Neodiprion lecontei: one gene and its partners. The protein of the gene in region 2 purifies or fractionates together with the protein of the main gene of each other region. This does not show direct contact. Links are inferred from orthologs where the notes say so. Each region holds a gene or a part of one and is shown on either strand. Other genes may lie near its edges.

Evidence for each region. Proteins that work in one complex are often made in the same cells at the same time.
Region 1: the proteins of transcriptional coactivator yorkie (region 2) and 60S ribosomal protein L18 purify together in Homo sapiens (affinity purification with mass spectrometry, with the first as the bait; 4 studies listed by BioGRID). This does not show direct contact. The link is inferred for Neodiprion lecontei from reciprocal best matches to the Homo sapiens genes YAP1 and RPL18.
Region 3: the proteins of transcriptional coactivator yorkie (region 2) and transitional endoplasmic reticulum ATPase TER94 purify together in Homo sapiens (affinity purification with mass spectrometry, with the first as the bait; 3 studies listed by BioGRID). This does not show direct contact. The link is inferred for Neodiprion lecontei from reciprocal best matches to the Homo sapiens genes YAP1 and VCP.
Region 4: the proteins of transcriptional coactivator yorkie (region 2) and cyclic AMP-responsive element-binding protein 1 purify together in Homo sapiens (affinity purification with western blotting, with the first as the bait; 3 studies listed by BioGRID). This does not show direct contact. The link is inferred for Neodiprion lecontei from reciprocal best matches to the Homo sapiens genes YAP1 and CREB1.

What each region holds. Positions count from the first base shown.
Region 1 is NC_060264.1:27,197,481-27,202,657, forward strand, and holds 60S ribosomal protein L18, read left to right. Parts: upstream 1-1,885; 5' UTR 1,886-2,030; coding exon 2,031-2,033; intron 2,034-2,161; coding exon 2,162-2,248; intron 2,249-3,363; coding exon 3,364-3,570; intron 3,571-3,904; coding exon 3,905-4,174; 3' UTR 4,175-4,331; downstream 4,332-5,177. Other genes in the region: thioredoxin-like protein 1, read right to left, coding at 4,488-4,505, 4,623-4,854.
Region 2 is NC_060261.1:34,667,035-34,672,614, forward strand, and holds the start of transcriptional coactivator yorkie, read left to right. Parts: upstream 1-2,273; 5' UTR 2,274-3,750; intron 3,751-5,580. Other genes in the region: serine/threonine-protein kinase 3, read right to left, coding at 15-195, 305-385, 588-709. UniProt on the Homo sapiens protein: Transcriptional regulator with dual roles as a coactivator and corepressor. Critical downstream regulatory target in the Hippo signaling pathway, crucial for organ size control and tumor suppression by restricting proliferation and promoting apoptosis.
Region 3 is NC_060264.1:28,581,655-28,587,002, forward strand, and holds the start of transitional endoplasmic reticulum ATPase TER94, read left to right. Parts: upstream 1-2,002; 5' UTR 2,003-2,135; coding exon 2,136-2,152; intron 2,153-3,678; coding exon 3,679-4,038; intron 4,039-4,117; coding exon 4,118-4,310; intron 4,311-4,521; coding exon 4,522-4,756; intron 4,757-4,887; coding exon 4,888-5,021; intron 5,022-5,348. UniProt on the Homo sapiens protein: Necessary for the fragmentation of Golgi stacks during mitosis and for their reassembly after mitosis. Involved in the formation of the transitional endoplasmic reticulum (tER).
Region 4 is NC_060264.1:3,829,680-3,834,985, reverse strand, and holds the start of cyclic AMP-responsive element-binding protein 1, read left to right. Parts: upstream 1-1,960; 5' UTR 1,961-2,236; intron 2,237-2,319; exon of another isoform or gene 2,320-2,334; 5' UTR 2,335-2,374; intron 2,375-2,760; exon of another isoform or gene 2,761-3,049; intron 3,050-3,271; 5' UTR 3,272-3,290; coding exon 3,291-3,470; intron 3,471-4,589; coding exon 4,590-4,739; intron 4,740-4,856; coding exon 4,857-4,983; intron 4,984-5,306.

The DNA of each region.
Region 1 (5,177 bases), on a different chromosome or scaffold from region 2:
ACCGGCCGAGTTCTCGTTCAGATGTTCCGTTGTCTTTTGTTTTACTCCTCAATGGCATCTGTCATCTCAACGAAATCTCGTTACTTGCTTTATTAACAATGATATCGTTACTTGTGCGAATGAAACTTTACTCCATTATTGCATACAGAGAAACTGACGAACACGCGCACACACATTGCGAAAATATCAACGAAAAAAAAATCGAACCAGTGTTTATATCAGATAAACGGTTAGAATACGGCGCGATGGATAATAAATCCGCATAGCATTTGCACGCCGAGGAGAATTCACGATAAGATTAAACCGCCTTTTGCAAAATAAGATTGAGGCAATAATCGGTAGGCCTCGAACCTCGTTTCACGCCGTAATCCTCAATAGTGTGCGTATATACGGCACCTGCACATTCGCGTCGATAGGATGCAGCAGCGAGTGGCGAAATACCCCACGCTTCATAGTTGTCCGTTGCTCAGGTGGCAAGTGACAACCAACTCTGTCATGATTTAACCCCCGACAGCCAAAGTGTTCAGAAGTTCCTTCACCCGGACAGCACGTCGTTGTTTTCGCAACAAACCCAGCTCGAATTACAGTCGGCGACAAAGATTAGGAAGCCGCGAATATCGCGCTGTATAATAATACTTTATAAAATCGTCCACTCGAAAAACAACCGCCTTCTGTTATTCGTTTGTTTACTATTAACACGTCCTTTTTTCGACTCGGAAACCAGTCAGTCGATTGCGCGGGGCCCGCCTCGTGTGCTGCACTGCGACAGCAACACCTCGTTACACGGCTAACGGGATCCTACGCACTGATCGCCGGGTCGCTCGTATCTCTTGAAGTTGGTCTCGATACCGTCTATAGTCTCATGCCCCCCCCCCCCCACCCCCCCGCCGCCGGCGACCCTCGGAGCCCTTCGCCACTCCGGCGCCGTACGGCTGCGTACAACGAGCAGGTGTGCATGGAGGTTCCCCACTACCCACTTGCCTTTCTAAGTGTTTATGCTAATTATCAGCAATGCGAATGCACCGATTCACCGACCGCGGCATAAGTGCTTGTCGGAAAACTTGTCACAACGCTCGTTGCTGAAAGCATGCTGTCATGAGGGGGAAATGCTTGTCACAGAGTTCCAAGTTGGTTTAGAATTGTGATGCCACCTAGTTACACTCCGTTGAAACATTTTTCATTGGTGAGGTTATGGGGCGGGAAACTTTGGTACGAAAATTTTGTACTGTTACCGACCTATAAGTGCTTACACTTTTCGTATTGAAATAATGATTAATATATTGAATTATAGAATTTTTAGGTGTGCAGACTTCTGCGCCGATTGTGAGTGATGATGTATTTCTTTCAATCACTTCAATAAATCGATATATCTACGAATGAAAATTGATTCGATACTATAATTTTGGATATAATTCAGACAGTGCAAGTTATTCAGTTACCGACAATGTCCGTAACGGACCATTAAACATTTTTATAAAATAAAGTCACATGTTGGAACTGTGATTAGTTCAACCAGGTTTTGGAAGCTTCTAGTTTTGCCGTTGAGAAATTATGATAACCTTGTAAAATGCAAATATAATGTAAATACGGATTTCACAAATCTACAATTCTAATAGAATGGTGAAATGAAGGTAACGCCTCCCATTGCATACAGCGCATGAAACTGCAAAGTTAAAAAAAAGTGTCGCGCGTTCGTAAATTTGATCGTTTCAATACTTTAAATATTTGTTATAAAAATGCCTAATACTGATAACAGAATACACAGTTCAAACATGTTCTCCGTTGTGGAATTTTATTCGCTTTAAAAACACGGCAGGATAAAATAAATACCTTACCCTATGCAGTATACGGTTTTGAGAAAAATCCGATAAGTACGGATAAGTGGTGTAATTTCGAATTCTCGCGACTCGCGGCTGCGTTCAAGATTGACCGGAAAGAGTCAACAGCCAGCAGTGCTGCCATCTGTTCCACTCTCTCTTTCATCGCCGTTCACGTTAATCGGCGTCAGTTTCTTTTTCCGGTGTGTCAAAATGGTAAGATGGTGAACATATTTTGTACGCTCCACGTAATCCCTTGGCATCTGTTAAATACGGGATAATGATGACTTGTGCATAAAGTGATCCTGTAGGAGGTGTATTAATAAAATGGATTTTCTGCATAGGGTATCGACATCAACCATAAACATGACCGTAAGGTTCGGCGAACCGAGCCCAAGTCGCAGGACGTGTATCTCAGGCTTCTCGTCAAGGTATTTATTCTTTCATTTGCTTGAACATTTCACTTCTCCTCATTATTTGCCTGCATCAATTCAAAAACACTTCCAAACTTCGAAATTTTCAAGTCTGATAGGATTTTTTACATAAGATCTTTCAGCTTTCAAGCTGTGCTAGGTTAGGTTAAGTTTTAATTGGTTGACCGTTTCACGGCTGTTTATTCCTTGCCGAAAACACGTGTTCAACACCAATTTATGAAGCGATCCAATTCAAGAATTGCACATTTCTACAATTTTCCGTGAACAAACTTATTTATCGATTGCGTGCCAACGCCAATATGATATCCGATTTGTCTGTCAGAAAATTCTATATTTTTTTTGCAAACTAACCTTCAGCAGTTGTGTGGTTGTTATGTTCCACTCTGTCGAGCTGTTTTCCGGTTTGTTTCCACATTTTTGATGTTTCGCATTATCTTAGGTGGTCGCAACACCGTGACTATGTTATATCTGACTTCATATAAGATAGTAGGTCCTGACAACCGTGATTTGACTGCGATGTATTACTACCGCTTATATTCTAAAGTTTTACTACGTTTAATGTGGTAATTATCACATTTGATGAAACCCAAAAGACAAGTAAAGAAAGAAAGAAAATTATCATTTCTTGTTGAGTAAGTGTAATAAATTGATTACTATCATAATTGCATGTGATAATAAAGGTTATAACAGTAAAAAGATGTACACATATAGCAGATTTCTATTGGAAAGAGACCTGATGTTATTTGAAAAATGAGAGATGTATCATTTCGTATTTGCTTGCAGCGTTGATGGTAAATTAAATATTATCTGATCCGATGTTTGAAAAAATTAAATTTCACCATTGTGATGTCAATTATTACAAAAAAGTATATCTATAACTTGTTGCGAACTGCACTCTGTGTCAGTTTATTCATAAGCTGGTTCAATTTGAACGTTCGCTAGAGAAAACGAAGGAATCGATTTTCCTATTCAGACTTTTGGCTTCCTGTTGTCAAAAGTTCCTTATAAAGGTCGATACAAAATGTAAGTTTTTTTTTTTCAAATGAATTGCTGAAATGCAATATATTACCAAATGGACAATGCTGATAGTTTCATGCAATATCCTTTCGCAGTTGTACCGCTTCTTGGCCAGGCGTACTACTTCCAAGTTCAATAAGATCATCCTCAAGCGTTTGTTTATGAGCAAAATCAACCGTCCGCCGATTTCACTGGCTCGTATTATCAGGTTCATGAAGAAAGAGGGTCGTGCTAACCGAATCGCAGTCATCGTTGGAACTGTCACTGATGATGCCAGAATTTTGGAAGTACCCAAATTGACGGTAAACTGATATTTTTTCGATTCAATTCTTGGTGATAAATTTGTTAATTTGCAGGCAATCCATGTTTCGACATTATTTTTCATCTTTTTTCTTGTTATTGTTCTAAGTTAGTTATTGCGATTTAATATTCAATTCTCTGTTTCTGAGTTTTCCTTCAAAGTTTGTACTATTACGTCAACCCGATACAATTTTAACAGAAAATCCCTTTATTCAGGACTTTTGCAGGATCTCGTTCGAAAAGAATAGCTGCCTGTTGTAATTGCGCAAAACACCGAACTGTAATTTATAATCTATCATTTACTTGGCCCTCATTAAATTCGGTCAATTTCGGTAGGTATGCGCACTCCGTGTTACTGCAAAAGCGCGAGGACGTATCTTGAAGGCTGGCGGAGAGTTGATAACTTTTGATCAACTGGCGCTACGTTCACCGACTGGAAAGAACACAGTTTTGATGCAGGGACGCAGGAATGCTCGTGAAGCAGTCAAACACTTCGGGCCAGCACCCGGAGTGCCACATTCTCACACTAAGCCACTTGTACGCTCAAAGGGACGTAAGTTTGAACGTGCCAGGGGACGCAGGCGTAGCTGCGGTTACAAGAAGTAAACCATCCTACTTCGCCGTCGTTTTTTTTTCGCCATCAGTACACGACTTTTACGTATAGATATTCATTTAATACTTCAATACCTTGATTGTGTATCGATTGTGTCGTACTTTGGTACAAGGGAATGGTGCGAAATAAATGTCGGTATTTAAAAACTAACAAACCTGCGGTTTTCTGTATTATTAATTCCTCATTTACCTTCCAATATTTTGATACAATTTTATTCATCAATTCTTGTAACTATTTCTATTACTGGTTAAAACTTAACAAATACCTTAAAATCCTAGAATCTCGCCATCAGCTTCGCTCGTTTATTTACGATCCGGCAGGATTCTGGCCAAAAATAAATTCATTAGATCATCATTCCGCACTTGTAAGCACGCATTTCAAATGAGGTATAAACAATTTTGGAACAAAGGAAATGAACAATGGTGTTATTGTTAGACTGACCGCTTCGGGTGTTTCAGTGGCCTCTGTTTGTCCTTCCGGGTTCTCTTCCCCTTCAAGGTTCTCTTCATCGTCAGACGGCACTTCTTCAACGAGACCTGGAGCCGGAAAGTAAACCGCAGTTTCGTCGACGGCCTTTTCGGGGCTCTCGCTAACGTGATAAGGTCCGATCCCCGCAAAAGCCAAAAAAGATTCGCTGTCTATCTTTTTAACGACGCAAACGAATACTTCGTACCTAAAACATCGTTGTTCAGCCCACTATTGATCGATGCTTCACGATTTTAACTATCAGTTTCAATTCTCATTGTACAAATTTCGGAAGTCTGTTAGTAGTGACATTTGTGAAAACGGGAAGGAACCAAATTTTAATCGTAATTCAGTTTAACAGGAGTTTCGTAAATTTCAATCGAACCTCGTAAAATTTGCAACATCTATTTGTTATCTTTCCAGTTTCGTTGAAACTTGTAGGGTAGGAAAGACTTTCGAATTGAGCACTGATTGCTTTTCAGCCGAATCAATTGCTACGGAAAAAGGAGAAGAAAAATCTACTATTTCGCT
Region 2 (5,580 bases):
AATTCAATTCATACCCATAAATCCGTGTTCTTGAAGTAACTTCCATAGTATTTCACTACATACGGTGAATCGCATTGCTGCATTATTGAAATCTCCTTTATTATCTCCTGTAAATCCGTATCCACAGGTACTTGCTTGATCGCAAGCACCTGCCCGCTCTCTTTGTGCAATGCTTTATAAACGGAACCATAAGATCTGAAACAAACATTGAGCCATATCTTAAAAGACATCCAAATTATACTAAATTAGTATGGCACACTAATAATTAGATTACTAAGTAGAATTCTCTCAAAGTAACGCTCACCCTTCACCAAGCTTGCAGATTATGTCAAAAACCTCTTCGGGTTGTCGTGTCAAGCTTTCCTCGGATAACTTTTTCAACTCACTGTAAAGGTAGAAGGAATTTTTTAGCGTCTGTTCAAAATTTTAATCTCTCTGATTGTAAGATGGCTTTGTCATATTGTTTCTAAAAATAAAGTAATCCAATGTCATGTTTGACAGACATAGAGGTTGGACTTAAATCAAAGGTGGTTCATTAGAGATTGGAATGACGTATTGTAAATATTTGACAAGATTTGCGTACATACTATCTGTTTGCAAAACCTGAGAAGTAAAATAAAGATTGACCCAAAGGCAAGTTTGGAGTGGGAATATATTTTTCCGTTAGTTCATTCCTTGAGAGAATGGACCTTGGAGTCAGACTAGACATGTATGAAATTCATTAATGCAACTTAATCGGTTGAAGAACATAACAAATATATTGTGAACGGAGTAAGCAATGAAGAGTAGTTTACAGTGACAAAGGTTAACAAAGAAAGAAAACAATTTTAGGTTTTCGATAGTACTGTTATTGCTAATTTGTAAATATGTAATTTTCGAGTGAAATGGAGATTGTTTGGAATAATTTACAGCTTAACTGTCTTTCTAATTATTGTTTTGAATCGTCGGCATCATTTCGAAAATTGGAACTATTTTGACGCATACATATAAGGGTAGGATTCATTCGGGTCCAGATAAAAAAAAGGAAAACAATTAAATAAATATACATATATACCTTTTAGAAGACATCTTCGTTTTTACGTCAGTCTAATATTAACTTGGATAAAAAAAAAAGAACACACATTCACTACGCAAATAACGAACTAATACGTCAAAAATACACTATACGTTGATAATAAAATCATATTCAATTCAAATAACTAATATTACATTTTTTGACAATAAAATTAATTTTAACCACAACTGAAATATCGAAACCCTTGATCAAGACGTCCATAGACTTTCAACTCTTATTTGTCTGTAACCGAAGCAAATATATATTTATTGACTAGCTGTATAGTTAGACTGCCTTAGTTCATTATAACTCCGACTGATGTCAGAGTGAGGGGCCGAATAATTACTTCAGTCAAAGTTTCAAACGTTTCAAGCGTTTCAATCGAGCATTTTACAGTCGAAAGGTCTTTACAACTCATTATCTTTAATCACAGCTACCGTATGAAGGAAAATTAATCAATTATGAAACACATTAATCATCGATATTCTTGCAAGTAACAATCGGAGACTTTTTATCTGTGCCTAAATAAGAGTGGCTTTTCACACGGTATTATTCTCATCCTGAATAACGGTACAGAGGATAGCCTACGAGGGAAGAGAAAGAAGAAAAACAGAATTACGATGCCAATTAAGACCGATGTTACCGTGATGCAAAAATCGGTTACGTCTGATCATATTCTATTTCTCCCTAGATGCCCTGTTCGATTTCAACGTTCACGGATATATCTCCAAATATCAAAGGCCACGTATCTCGAAAACGAAAAAATACTTAATAGCCTTATTTTATACACAGTTCTGAACAAAAACAGTCCTAGACATTTTTCATTTGACGCAGAAATAAAGAAATGGCCCAGATTCTACGAAATCGAACAGTCAAATCGTAGAATTCATACCATATATTTCTTTATTTCTGCATCAAATGAAAATGTATTGGAGTGTTTTTGTTCGAAATAGCGTACAAAATAGGGCTGTTAATCCTTCGTTCGTGTGTGAGATAGGTGGACTTTGATATTTAGATCAGAACCTATGTTCAACTCGTCAGCTTTCGAACATTGTAATTGTTGCAAACAAGCGTTCGATTATCTCTCTTCCAAATCATGGATTTTCGAAACTCCCGCGTCTACGAGTCCGAAGTGAGCGGTGTATCGTTTAACGGGCAGGCTAGCAGGCGAGCACGTAAGCCTCTCGTCGGAAATCCAAACTACTCTCGGCGAGCCAGCCGTGATCAGTGTGCGTGCGGTGCTCGTAGAGTATGGCGGTAGGGTTTAGAGGAGGTAGCGTTGTCGGGGCGATCGCGATCCATCGTATGTGCCGCGTAGGAATTAGTGACCTGCAGCAGGAGGGTTGTAACAAGCAAGTGTGTATTCCCTGAATGATAAAACGGGGACCGTTCCTAGCGTTGTGCGGTTGACAAAGAAAAGTTGAATCGTGAAGTAAGCGGTTCAATCGGACTACAGTTGTATCAAGACATCTGAACGATGTTCACAGTTCCGCTGGATCGATAACAACAATGGAATTACTTGTTATCGCGTAAGAAAGAGAATGTGCGTGCGCGCGCTGCCGCTGCTCCTGGTGCTGCTGCTGCTACCCATCGTCGTCGATTCCTCCGCGGTCACCACACTACAATCACGCTAGCAACGCCGCTACCTCCACCTCCTCACCAACACGACGATAGATCCTTATGTACCTACCCACCTACGTACGTACATATATTCCCCTCCACCTAAAATCTTGAAGAAAAAGCAACAGGCCAGGCCAGGCCACACGCCTTGCCTGGGCACGGCGTTTCAGCGACGCGGCGCATAGTTAAGATCCAGACTGGTGTCTGTCTCTTCTTGTGCGCGGCACTGTGTCTTGATCGGTCGGACAGTCGGTCGGTCGGTCGGTCGGTCCTCCGGTCGGAGACGGTCGTCTCTTGTTTTGCCCCTCTTCCTCCGCCTAGCCTCTTTATGCGTAGCAGTAGTATTAGTAATAGACGTAGTTTAATTATTCACCGGTGTATCAACAGATCTAGTGCATCGTTCCTCGTCTCCCTCGGAGTTCGTCCTGATTTAAACAACTATCGCAAAGTATCGCCGCTGTCGAGGAACCAGGGAGAGCGAGCTGAAGTGTCGGGTGTTTATCGAAGTGCCTTTTTAAAACACAGTGCCGTGGCTAAATAACGTACATCATATACACAACCGTAGATACATACGTATACAAATATATATTATATATACATATACACAAACACACTCACACCTATCTGTATACACATATTTTACAAATACTATATTTCCCCGTGTATGCGTGTTTATACGTGCACACGCGCGCCTATGTACGTACGTATGCATATGCCGTGTTGTTATTATTATTACATGTATGCACAACCGTGTGTGCCTTGTGTGTTGAATAAATAGTTGAAGACGAAAATAGTAGTGTACCACACATACACGTTAACTAGAGATGGAGCGATAGAGAGAGAGAGAGCGTTGACTGAAGACTATAAAGACAGTACCCCTGGGTAAATTTTTGTGTATCAGTTTTCGGCGGGCAAGTGGGCCCAGGTGGGCCTGGGAGCGTAGGAGGTTTCTGCTCTATCGACTCTACCTAACGGACTTGTACCGACATTCGTAGCAGCCAAGGTAGTGTCGGTATGGAAGCTTGAAATTGAGACGGTACGAAGTGAGTACGTAAAACTACGTACCGATTGTAAATGTTAGTACCATGTCTTTATCGACACAGTCATTATTTTATTCCAATAATACGGATATGCCTTTTCAATGCGACATAATTTTCCTAAAATCGCTTGCCCTTATTTCTCTGTATTCGACCAAAATGTCTTGCAGAATTAAATACATTGAATTAATTGGAGACATGAAAAATTTTCATAATTATCGAAATAATTATATTTGTTAATCATTATATAAGAACAACAGTTTCGATTCCTGGCTCCGTCGTTAATTTTTCAAATCACTAAAAATTTTCGAATTTACATTCTCTAGCATTTTTCTTCTCGCTAAAATAGCTATATGACGTATTTTCATATCACTTCATAGACGGCCGGGACCGTCTTACGTGGCTTTATAATTGTGCTTTTTGAGACGAGTTTCATAATATATACTTATTATTAGTTCCTTATTCATCTGAATTGTTGATATAAAAGATCATGCAATAAGTTGAGACGTAAATACTTGAAACTTATAATTCTGATTACTGTTTTGTATATTGATGACGTACGTTGTGTTGTCAGTTATTAGCTACTAGTTTGCTCACGAGTATTTCCAGGGGATGCCACGGGGAGGCCAACTGACATTACCCCCCATAGGTCGATCAGCTCGATCATTCCCGCGAGGAGACGCGAAACCGCGACTTGGTCGATCAGAAAAAATAGCCGAAATTCGAAATCAGGTTTGGGGGGGGGATTTATATTTTCTATTATAATTAATAACTCCTATCAATGTAACTAATTCAGATTTTAAATCGCGATTATCTCGGGAACGGTGATAGATACGGCAAAACTAACGAAATTTTGGAGGTTTCCTAGAAGGGAACTTGAATCGGGCAGGTAATTAGTCCGTTCTAAGGACTTCCCTGGATTCTTATTTTTTAATTTTAATTTGATTCTAATTTTCGAATCTAAAATCGCGAATATCTCGAGAACGGTGTTACGTGGGGGTGAAAGTGTACCGAGCGGTGGTAATTAATGATTAATGAATAATCAAAGATGCTCCCACGTAACGACAATGAATAAAAATTAAAACTAAGAAAGACCTACCTCTCGATAAGCCAGTAATTTGTAGGATCGTGTGGCTATAGTCCTGTACAGGTCTGTGAGGCTTGTTCAAATTGTTGAGGCTAATTTATAATAATGAAAATGGGAAAAGGTCGTTTAAAATAAATGGTTTGAAATGATTTAACTGGTAAAAGATAAAGTATATTCTGCAACGATTCGGTGATTGAAATGTTTGGTAACAATGAATGACGATAATGACGTAGAAGCTGAAAGTAACAATTTATAAAGTGTTTGAGTTTATACAACAATCCACGCCGACGGACGAATTTATATTAAAAATGCAGAGAAGCTGCAGAATTACTAATTTTGACCGTTTGCGTGTTTGAGCAAATCGTGTGTTATTCGATTCTAAATAATATTATTATTTGATACCAAGAACATCTATCCTGAACGATGCTTATAACTAGCTGGTCGTGATTATTTGATATCGTATCTCTCTTTTTTATAGATTATCTTAAATTTAAATTAACATGCAGTTGGTACATAGTTTATAATGATTATAAAGTGGGGCCGAGTTGAGGACTGGAGAATAACTCTCTGAATCCCCAAGGGAATTGTCTATAGCTGGACGCCAATTTTTCGTGCTGTTATTTCGAATTGTGTTCAAATCTTGGAAACAATACGTTTGATCTAATTGGGGTTAGTGAAGCTAGCCACCAACTCTAGTCTTATTTTCAAATGGATATTATAATAGTAACTTTTAATCAGAAAGGTGAAAACAAGAATTCGTTCGATGTTGGAGATTAGCACTC
Region 3 (5,348 bases), on a different chromosome or scaffold from region 2:
ATTTGGAAGATATTTAAAATTCGCAAACCATTACTGATTGAAAATAGGTACAAAGTTCAACCAATAAAAGCTGGAATTAGTAGACTAAGAGGTTGAAAATAAAATAGTTCTGTTGCTAGTTGTAAGGATTAGAACTTAATGCGAGCAAAGATACGAGGCAAAGTGATTTTGGTTTCTTGTTGAATGAAAGGTCAAGATATAGGCAAAACCTACTTTTTATCATAGCACTTTTGTTAAATTGACGTAATATTACAACTTGTCGGAATTGATTAATGACGCATGGAGAGAAAAGTTCGAAGAAAAGGGAAGGACACGAAAATCAATGAGCTGCAATTTCTAATCCAGTTATGATTGTGTTAGAAAGGCAGCGAACAAAAGAGACGTGAATACACGGAGTCCGCTGACAAGTGTTGAGGTTATGTGTCAACCCAATGTTATTTACTCATGTTTATGATTAGTCGATTAGAATACGATTTCTGTACGTCATCTACTCGAAAGGAAGAAGATAATTGCATATATTTGATAATCGAGATATTTATCACCTTTGATTCCTGCCATTGTTTGACGCAATCCTTTTTTCAAATTATTGTTCTTGAAATCCTACTCCATTTAGGAATTATCAAGCAGCAAGATGACAGCCAAGCCCTGAATATGGCTGCAAATGACTCACCAGCTCATCCATTTTTTAAGATAACTGAAGATAAAACACTTTTGATTTGAAAACGTGGCCACATTTTTGATATTACGATGTGTTTGGGGTTTCTTATTAACAAGAATTTCTATAGTAAATTGGATCTCCTTTAGCAAGGAGTAATTCCCGCATAATATTATTTGAACACTATTATAATCCGCTGGATTAATTAATAAAATGCTTTTATAGCTCTGTTTGTAGTCGATGTGAATTTAAAAAAAATTGAAGAACAGGCTCCTCATTTCATTTACATGAAACCATCAAAATAAATCTTTGTTTATGGTGAAATTTGCTAGTATAAATTTCATACTCAAAATTTCTCGTATTTTATAGTTCTCAGATATCGGCAATTTCAAATTATAGTTATGTCAAGATTTAAGATTTTCTTGAATTTTGAATGGACGTCGGAAAGCCTCAGATTAGAATAATTTTTCGATCTATGTTCAAATTTCCAGCATTTCGATAAATCGCATCAGGTTTTACTGCAGATGTATGAGAACTGTTGAAGCTGTACCCAGTTTTCCAATATACAATAAATATGACCTGAATGGGTGCGTTTGTTTAGCTTCCCAACTAATACTTATAAAAAACGAAGCATTTAAATGACGGGTCGTTTATAAAACAACAATTGTAACCTAATGATCGTTTATGTACACACTTTACATATATACATAATACTTAGAGCATGTGTATGTATATAACACAGATACAATATGCTCATTGCTCTAACAATAAGGTATAAAATGACGTGCGGCATCAGTAACGACTGGTAATGACACTGAACTGCGTGGCTGTGACACGAAACGAGTTATAGCCAATGACTAATGATTTTTTTTTCTGTCCGCTAAGAAATTTAACGAAAGTCAACGAATGACTGATTACCGCCAGTAATTACCGCGAATTCGGTTTGCAGTCATTCCACGTATGAGACATAATAAATATGAATTTTTCTGAAGTGCTCCGGTGATTATTTGCACTGTTTTTCAGATTGTTCTATTTTTGATCAAGCACGCGTATAGGCAGATGTGTGCTTATTAAAGGTGGATATTACACGACTTATAAGATAAACCTATTAATCATATTCATCGGTTTTCAACCTCTCATGAACAGAATTACTCCGAATATGCAATATTCGATTACCGAATACTATGAAAAATGTTTAATCACAGTTTCTGAATAATCAGTTCGGGATTTCACCGGAGTAAAACAAATCCAAAAATTGCAATTGCGTTATAAAACTTGATGAAAGTTATATGACTGTGCAGAATCGAATATTGGAACAATTTGAGATGGGTTCGCGAACGCGAATAAGCGGCCATGACAGATGTGAGTGGAGGATGTTCATTGGGTTAGCTGGCTGTCTGTGACTCGTGTTAGTTGCGAAGGGGGATCGTGATTGTAACGTTTGCATTTTTTTCCCAAGTTTATTAAAAAAAAATAAGATATGAGTGATCCTAAGAGGTAAGCGTATTGAATAATACAATGGTATTAAGTCCGGTTTCAGCAGGTCGTATTTTCGATAATATGTACACGATATCATCCGATCGGTTACTATTTTTTCCAATACCCTCAATTCACGGCCTCTACGCTTCCAAATTTTACGTTGTCATCATGTCGACGCCGACTCAAGTTTAACGAATTTCTTATACTTTCTATTCTCCCAATTCGCCCGGCTCTTTGTAAAGGTATTCATTATTTCACAATACGGATTAAATTTTGGCTTATTTTCGTGCTGTTTTATACCCATTTATCTTATTTACACCTGCGGACCGTGCGGTCATGGCCGCACAGCAGGCGTAACATGACAAAGGATTTTTCGATGAAACAAAAATTTGACGTGACAAAAAATTAAGCTCAAGTGGACAGAGACTAACTAGGAAGTCATTAATACAGTTTTGGAATTCCTACGTATTTCTCATTGTCAAATTGCTCGTATATTCAATCCTGTTTCACAGTCATTATTGTTATTATTATTCCTGTTAATATTACTGTTATAATAACCTACGTTATCACAATTGCTGCAATTACTACTCGACGATCACTTTGATCATTTATTATGATAGTTAACATTTTTCAACCTTTCTGCAATTTGTCCTTAAAGGATGTATTGTATATTCACGTAGGAATAACTTTTTATTTAGTATCAAAATACCTAGAATCTTGTCTGTATATACTTGCCTTATTTCGTTTCCTACCCTGAAAGTAGAAAAGAAAAATAGACTCATATTGAATTTTTTTCTATTATCGCTCTTGGTCCCAAAATTTTTTATCTGACCTTATACTTATCTGTGTTACCATTGTGTGAGTCTCATCTCGATGATGACATGTTGTATTGAAAGTAATCAATTTTGAGTCCACTTTTTAGTCATTCTAAAATAAATTAAATTCTAAAGATCACAGAGCATCTGTTTCTCAAAACCTGTTAAAACTCGCCGATTTTGTAGTATGTTATTTAAAGTTTTTTTTTATGGCTTCAGCTATTTTCCCCACTTCTGACGCACTGATCGGAAGAAAAATCATTTCTATTTTAAACTCCATGACATGCATAAAGTATTTACTTTCAATTGCGCGATGGGATTGGAAATGTGTATTACTGATTGCTATATCTTACTGTAATTTATATTAATCATTAGAATTATTTTAGAACAATGTGCTCAAGGTAGAGAAATGAAATTCAGTTTCAAAAACTTAGAACCTATTAGGAATACAATCTCTTCATAACGGGCAGACACAAATTAAATAATAAATATACACATAATGAAATTTGATTGTAGACAAAAGTCTTAGAGTATTGAAGTATCTTGAGAATATAGTCAGTATTATGATCGGGACACCTTTCACATATTGCCATTTTTTATTCCAACTTCCAATTACGTCTGACTGTTGAAAACAATATTTGTAAAGTACGATAATATACCGAGCAATACTAAACAATCTACAAAGAATTGGCAATATTTACTTAATTTTTTACCTTACTATTATTCTAGTGGAGATGATCTCGCGACTGCGATTTTGCGCAAGAAGGACAGGCCAAACAGGCTTCTGGTGGCAGAGGCGATCAATGATGACAATTCAGTCGTCGGCCTCTCGCAGGAAAAAATGGATGAGCTACAATTGTTTCGCGGTGACACCGTACTTTTGAAAGGAAAAAGGCGCAAGGAAACCGTGTGCATCGTACTATCAGACGACACATGTCCAGATGAGAAGATACATATGAACCGTGTCGTCAGAAACAATCTGCGTGTCAGACTTAGCGACGTTGTATCCGTTCAAGCTTGCCCGGATGTTAAATATGGCAAACGTATCCATGTTCTACCCATGGACGACACTGTCGAAGGTCTTACTGGGTGAGATATTTGAAAACTTGTATACACACTTATTGGTCTGTTGGCATTCTTACTAACACAAATAATTTTTTCTTGCCAGAAATTTGTTCGAGGTGTATTTGAAACCATACTTCCTTGAGGCATATCGCCCAATCCATAAAGATGACAACTTCATCGTACGCGGAGGAATGCGCGCTGTAGAATTTAAAGTAGTTGAGACTGATCCAGGCCCGTATTGTATCGTTGCTCCAGATACAGTGATACATTGCGAGGGAGATCCAATCAAGCGAGAGGTGTGTACTTGATTTATAATTTGATTATAATGTTTTTATTGCAGATAAATTTAACTAGCTAAAGCATAATTCAATGTGTAAACATCAATGGCTACATAAAGCACTTTCTACACCCGAGTGACTTAACTTTCAATCGTCCAAGATGTTAATATTCGGTGTTAGTGCATCTTACAATGCTTCCAATTATTCTCCGTGCGCTGTCAATTCGCAGGAAGAAGAGGAAGCTCTCAATGCTGTTGGCTATGACGATATTGGTGGTGTTCGCAAGCAGTTGGCTCAAATTAAAGAAATGGTAGAGCTACCACTGCGGCACCCGTCCCTCTTCAAAGCAATCGGAGTCAAACCACCACGCGGTATATTGCTCTATGGACCACCGGGAACAGGAAAAACCCTCATTGCACGTGCAGTTGCAAACGAAACTGGCGCCTTTTTCTTCCTTATTAATGGTAATCATATTGCGAATTGGTTTATAAATGCTTTGATATAACTCTCAGCACTATTCTATGAGCATCTTTGAATGGGATTTAATGTTCAAGTCACATGCATAAAATTAAACCTTATATTCTCATATCGATAGGACCTGAGATTATGAGCAAACTTGCTGGTGAGTCCGAGAGCAATTTGCGAAAGGCGTTTGAAGAGGCTGAGAAAAATTCACCAGCCATCATATTTATCGATGAATTGGATGCTATCGCTCCCAAGCGTGAAAAGGTTAGTAAAATACTGTATTCAAACGTGATATGGACAGTTAGTGACTTTGCTCTTTTCCCTCTAAGTCTATAAATTTGGTGATGGTTCAAATACGTGTTATTGATCATAGACAAGGTGTCTACTGCTCCTGAAATATCCTTAAATCTTGGGATTATCCTGGAAAACACAAATTGCTCCTTTAGTTCTGGAAAAGTCATGAAATGTTTTGATTTATCTTGAAAAAGTTGACGTAATATATTTTTGTTTGTAACTGTGACATATCATTTGTAATACGTGTCCTGATGCGTTGAATTTTAGCCTATGACGGATTATGCAGTCGATAGCAAC
Region 4 (5,306 bases), on a different chromosome or scaffold from region 2:
TGAAATTATAATATCGTAAAGGATGTAAGGATATAAAAAATAATTAATAAAGGAGTTTGTTAACTATTGTATAAAATTGTTTATTATCTTCGCTATGCGGTTTTTAATCAGATAACGTTGTATTAATTACCACATGAATGAATCACAATCGCTAGCGTATATTTTATTAAGAGAGTAATGATCATTTGCTACATCAGATCATTACATTTACGATCGAATTCGGGATTCGCGTTATTACCATGCTTTGTAATAAGCGTACTTATATCAAAATGTCTACGATTTTACGTAACGTTTCGGTATCAATAAATGCGATAAGAAAATGAATATGCTCGTTTGACTCGTTGTATTACGTCATCGCTTCTCCACTCTCCTTTTAAGCGAAATTAAATAAATTCCTAGCAAATATGATCACAGCACGCGAATTGAATAATACGTTTACGTATGGAATTTTATTCTTATAAAGTAAAGTTTAAAAATGATATTCAAAAATTGAACAATATTTGTTAGCGATATATTTTTATATATAATTTTCCGTATTTTTTTTCGAATATGCAGCGATTTATTCATAACATAGTAATGTAGGTTTACTTATCAACGAATTATTTTTTTCTATTCATTGGTTTGGACTTGTGTTACGAGAAAATAATAAAACGCTCGATCGCGCATATTTCGTTACACCTTTGAATGTGAACAACGACCAGGCATATCCGCATCAGACGGCATGAGTCACTTTCCGATGACGTCATTGCGTCCTACAGACCACTTGCAGAGTTACGTTTGTGGCATTCGAGACCCATTTTAATAGTGTGTACAGTAGTTATTTAAAACATATTTAGCAGTAATATAATTATTTTATACAAAAACAATTTTTCGATTAATTGAAATTTTCGCAACCCGACTGCATTAATTACGGCAACGCGGCCAATCAACGGATCTGAATAATATTGTAAACAAAGACAAATGTGTTTAAAAATATACACAAGTATATAAGATATAATATTGATCAGAACCGCTTGAAATATTTATTTATTTTGTTCATTATAAAGACAATCAACAGTAAATTCCTCAATTATTATAATTACAATTGAACTCATAGTGTGGAACACTCGCAAGCGAGATTGTGCGGAGTGGCTGCCCGCGCATTTATTTATAATGGATATTCGAGTGGAAATTTCCACCAATTTGTTATCGCAGGAAAATGATTTGGGATATTTATAAGAAAGGCATTATCGTCGTAGCGAGGAAACAAGCAAAATATGTATATTGTACACACGGACAGGATTCACACGTGAATGCGCGCGTGCGTGCGTACACGTGTCCGTAAAATGCGTGAGCCTCGCGAGCTGTGATCACGGTCATATGAAAGTAATACAAGTGTAGAATGACGTCATTGGATGACGTCAGCGCAACCCTACCACGATTTGTAAGTTATATGCGAAGACGAGGGCGAGGGTGACGAGGGTCACTGCGCGTAGACAAACACGTATACTTACCCATGTGCTAAGAATCGCGTTTAAAGAGCATACAATTAACAAGAAATCATAGAAATTACTGAAAACGCTTTGATCGGTGGGTAGCACCGAGACTGATTAATGTCTGTAAATTTTACGAGCGCTCATCCGCGTTCTTTAGTAAACTGACCTATGAAAGTACTTTGCGATTTCTTTGATATTTCGGTAGACGCCGTCCATATTTATGACATAATAATTGACTCATTGGATGTATATTTCTCGGTTGCGAATTCTCATCGAGTATTTTCGATTTGTTGGCTCTTGAAAACGCACATTTAAAACAATAACACTAAGACGACGGTATTGAGCAATAGCGTGGTGATTGTGCTAATTTGGACTCCCGCGTTACCGTTCGCCGAAGAAAAGTAGTTCTGCCAAGCTTGGTTATCAACGGATAATTATGAAATTGTATGATCTGGGTTTTTTTTTTTAAGGACATAAATTACTAATAATATCTTCGATTCTACTGCTCGAAGACGGTTGTTCGTTAACGAGCACATAATTCCGTAATTAATAAAGAAGAAAAGTGATCAAGCGGTTCGGCATTCACCATTCGCCATTACGCGCGCGGAGTTATACAGGCGCCATTTTGATCGTGACGCGAAGTTCACTCGTCGTGAGCTCCACCAGTGACGAAGCCACTGGAGTTTTGACGTGGCTGCTACGTACTTGCCCGTTTGCCCACTCCGATTGCAGCAAAGTTGGTGACGAGGAATACGTAACTGGTAAGTACTCAGCTGGAGAATAATAACAACCGAGCATGGACCACCGTTATTGCGATAGACCCGAAATGCTCATTGGATGTTAGCATTTTATTTTACAGCCTTAAATAAGGGATAGTTGAGTGTCTACAGTGTATAAAGGTACAAAATATGGCGTCTCGAGATACATGTTTGTATATGTAATTCTTTAAAACCATACCCGCTACTACGCGATACACGTCGTTATACTCGACCGTTAGAAAACGATCCTTTTGCTGTGTGTTACGATTTTATATTACTCTTGTCACATCTCACGCGATTGTTTACTCATTGCTTCGTCGCGGATGAAGAATGATGAAAAAGAAACATTCTCAATAAACATCATTTTATATTCTTCATTTATTTATTTTTAGCCCTCTTTGATGTAAATGACGCAGTAGCATTGGAGGAATTTTACGCGGCGGGAAAAAGGCACACGTTTCAAAACTTCACTTTAAATGGCAGCTTCATTTAAAAAATATGTGCAAATTACACTTGCACAAATGTCATTTACACTGTTGATTGTTGTCGTCAAATGATGAAGGACTTTCTTTTTCAGTCTTTTAATCATTATACTATAATTTAAGCTTTTACTAATAGTTTACATTACCCTGTTTTAACAAGAACAAGAATATATCATTCAACACAAATAATCTGGTTTTACCAAGTTACACATGTCAATATTTTCTGCCAAACATCAGTGACGATAGTGTGCTGCTTATCTAAGTGGATGCGGTTTTTAAGTTTTGTTATACATCCGCCCGTGTTGATATATTCAAGATTCCAAGATCGAAAGTAGTAAGACAATTATATTATATTTTCACAGCTTTTCCTTTTGTTTTCGTGTTTCTTTTTCTTTTCTTTTTTTTTTTTATTTTACATCAACTACATGTATATTGAAGCTTATGATTGATTTCGTCGAATGTAATGTAAGAAAAATATTTGTTTTGTGTGACGTCCAGCCTTATATATTTCTATGTCACAATTGATCGAAACTAATAAGCGTAAATTGAATTTCAGGGCTAGCGGTCCCCAGGCTATGGAAAGTATGGTTGAAGAAAACGGATCTACCGTTGACCCGTTGTCGCAGGGATCTCAGAGTGGAGATGCTGCACCTGCGATAGCAACATCGGTACAATCTTTGAGTAGATCCCAGCACCATCTGGTGGCTTCGACCAGCATTGTGCAACTGACGCTTCCTTTATCAGGGACAACGCAGGTATACAGGACACGCTCCTGTGTATCCATGCCTGATTGATTAATTTATCAAAACCAAATTCCTTCTTTTTTTCTCTGCGGTTACTTATTTGTTATCTTCATACTCTCAAGGCATGTTTACCGCGATACCTAATTCGTTATTTACTCTGCTTCGTTATTTTATAATTACACGTTCATATATTTTCACTGTACTTCACGAGTAGTAGGTATTAGATACATTACTTCATAATTTTGCATAATGCTGGTTCGTTTTGGCCCTTGATGTTTGTACACTATTTGTTACTACTTTTTTATAAATCTTTAATTTTATTCAGGTTGAAGAAAGGAATGTAAGCGTATGATTCATCTCTTTAGTACACGATGAAAATAATATTCTCTTATTTATTTTGCAATTCTCACTTTCATTGTTATATCAATATTTGATGTTTATACCTTCAACAACGATTCATGTTAACGTAACATGTGTTTCAATGCATAATAAATTGTATTGCTAATATCTCAATTCAATCGACTTTTGATTTTCTCAGTAATCATAGTTTGAACTTTAGTTTTACTCAATGTATGTTTTACTACTGTTACGCAGTGCAACGATGTAAATCTCCAGCAAACTGATTATCTTATCACATCACCTCAAAGGGTGATCCGCACACCTGACATAGATCACTTTTGAGCGACCACCTGCGTCGTTCAAGTTTGAAAGTTAGCCGAAATAATTTACAGTAATGGCATTTCGAAATATACCATCGAAATATCTACGTGGCATGTTTCTTTTTCTAATTCTATTCAGTACATCAGTTGTATTTCGAAATGCCGGTGAGATACAAAAAATTCACTCGAAAATATCCTCCTTAAAAAAGTATATCGCCCATACACAGTTTTTCCAATGTATTATAAAACTTGTGTCTCTCGCTTGTTTCGTTTACTTATACATTGCCAAATGTATTTATCGAAAAGTACAAAATTAGTTGATGAATCTAATAGTTCTCTTTTCTCACTGTACAGGTTTTATTGTGATAGATTATTTTCGTTGAATTGCTCGCCTGTAATCAATTAATGTCTTGAGCTACTACCTCATTGATGATACTTCTGGTGACATTTATTTCTTTATCGCCATTTGCAGGTACAATCGGTGATACAGCCAAACCAGCAGTCCGTTATTCAGACTGCTACAAACATCCAGCCGGTTGCTCTTTCCAAGGCAAACGTCATTCTCGTCAGTAAGCCCAATTCAGTCATACAAACGACGCAAGGCAGCCTACAAACTTTACAGGTATGTCAGCATTTGTAACATATGATCTTCACTTATTCTATAAACGAGTAATAATTTTTTCCCAATCAATTGAATCATCGAGTATTGTTTTCTCATACCTGTTATCACTCATTCAAGGTTGTCGAAACTGGAAGTGATGACAGCTTTTCGGACGAGGAATCCCCAAAAAAGAGGAGGGATATTCTAACCAGAAGACCATCTTACAGAAAAATCCTCAACGATTTAGGCGGAGGTGAGATTGCAGGTAAATATACCTTGCTGGATTTATTTTCGTTCCAAAATAAAGATATAAATAGGGAAAGTCCATTAGTTGTATTCATATCAAGAGCACAGTTGTTTAAAGTGCAATGTATTTTATCCTTTTTATCGATATTCCAAGTTTGTATCAATTTCCGGTATGACCTGGGGGATCTTTTTGCTTTTGATATTCAAATGCTTATCAGTGTCTATAAATTCCGTCACTACTTTTCATGTATGCTAAAATAGATTTGGAAAGCTTCTAAACAAAATCTACCCAACCCGTGGTCTTATGTTAGTCATATTTCAAAGTAGTAGTTTTACTTCCCC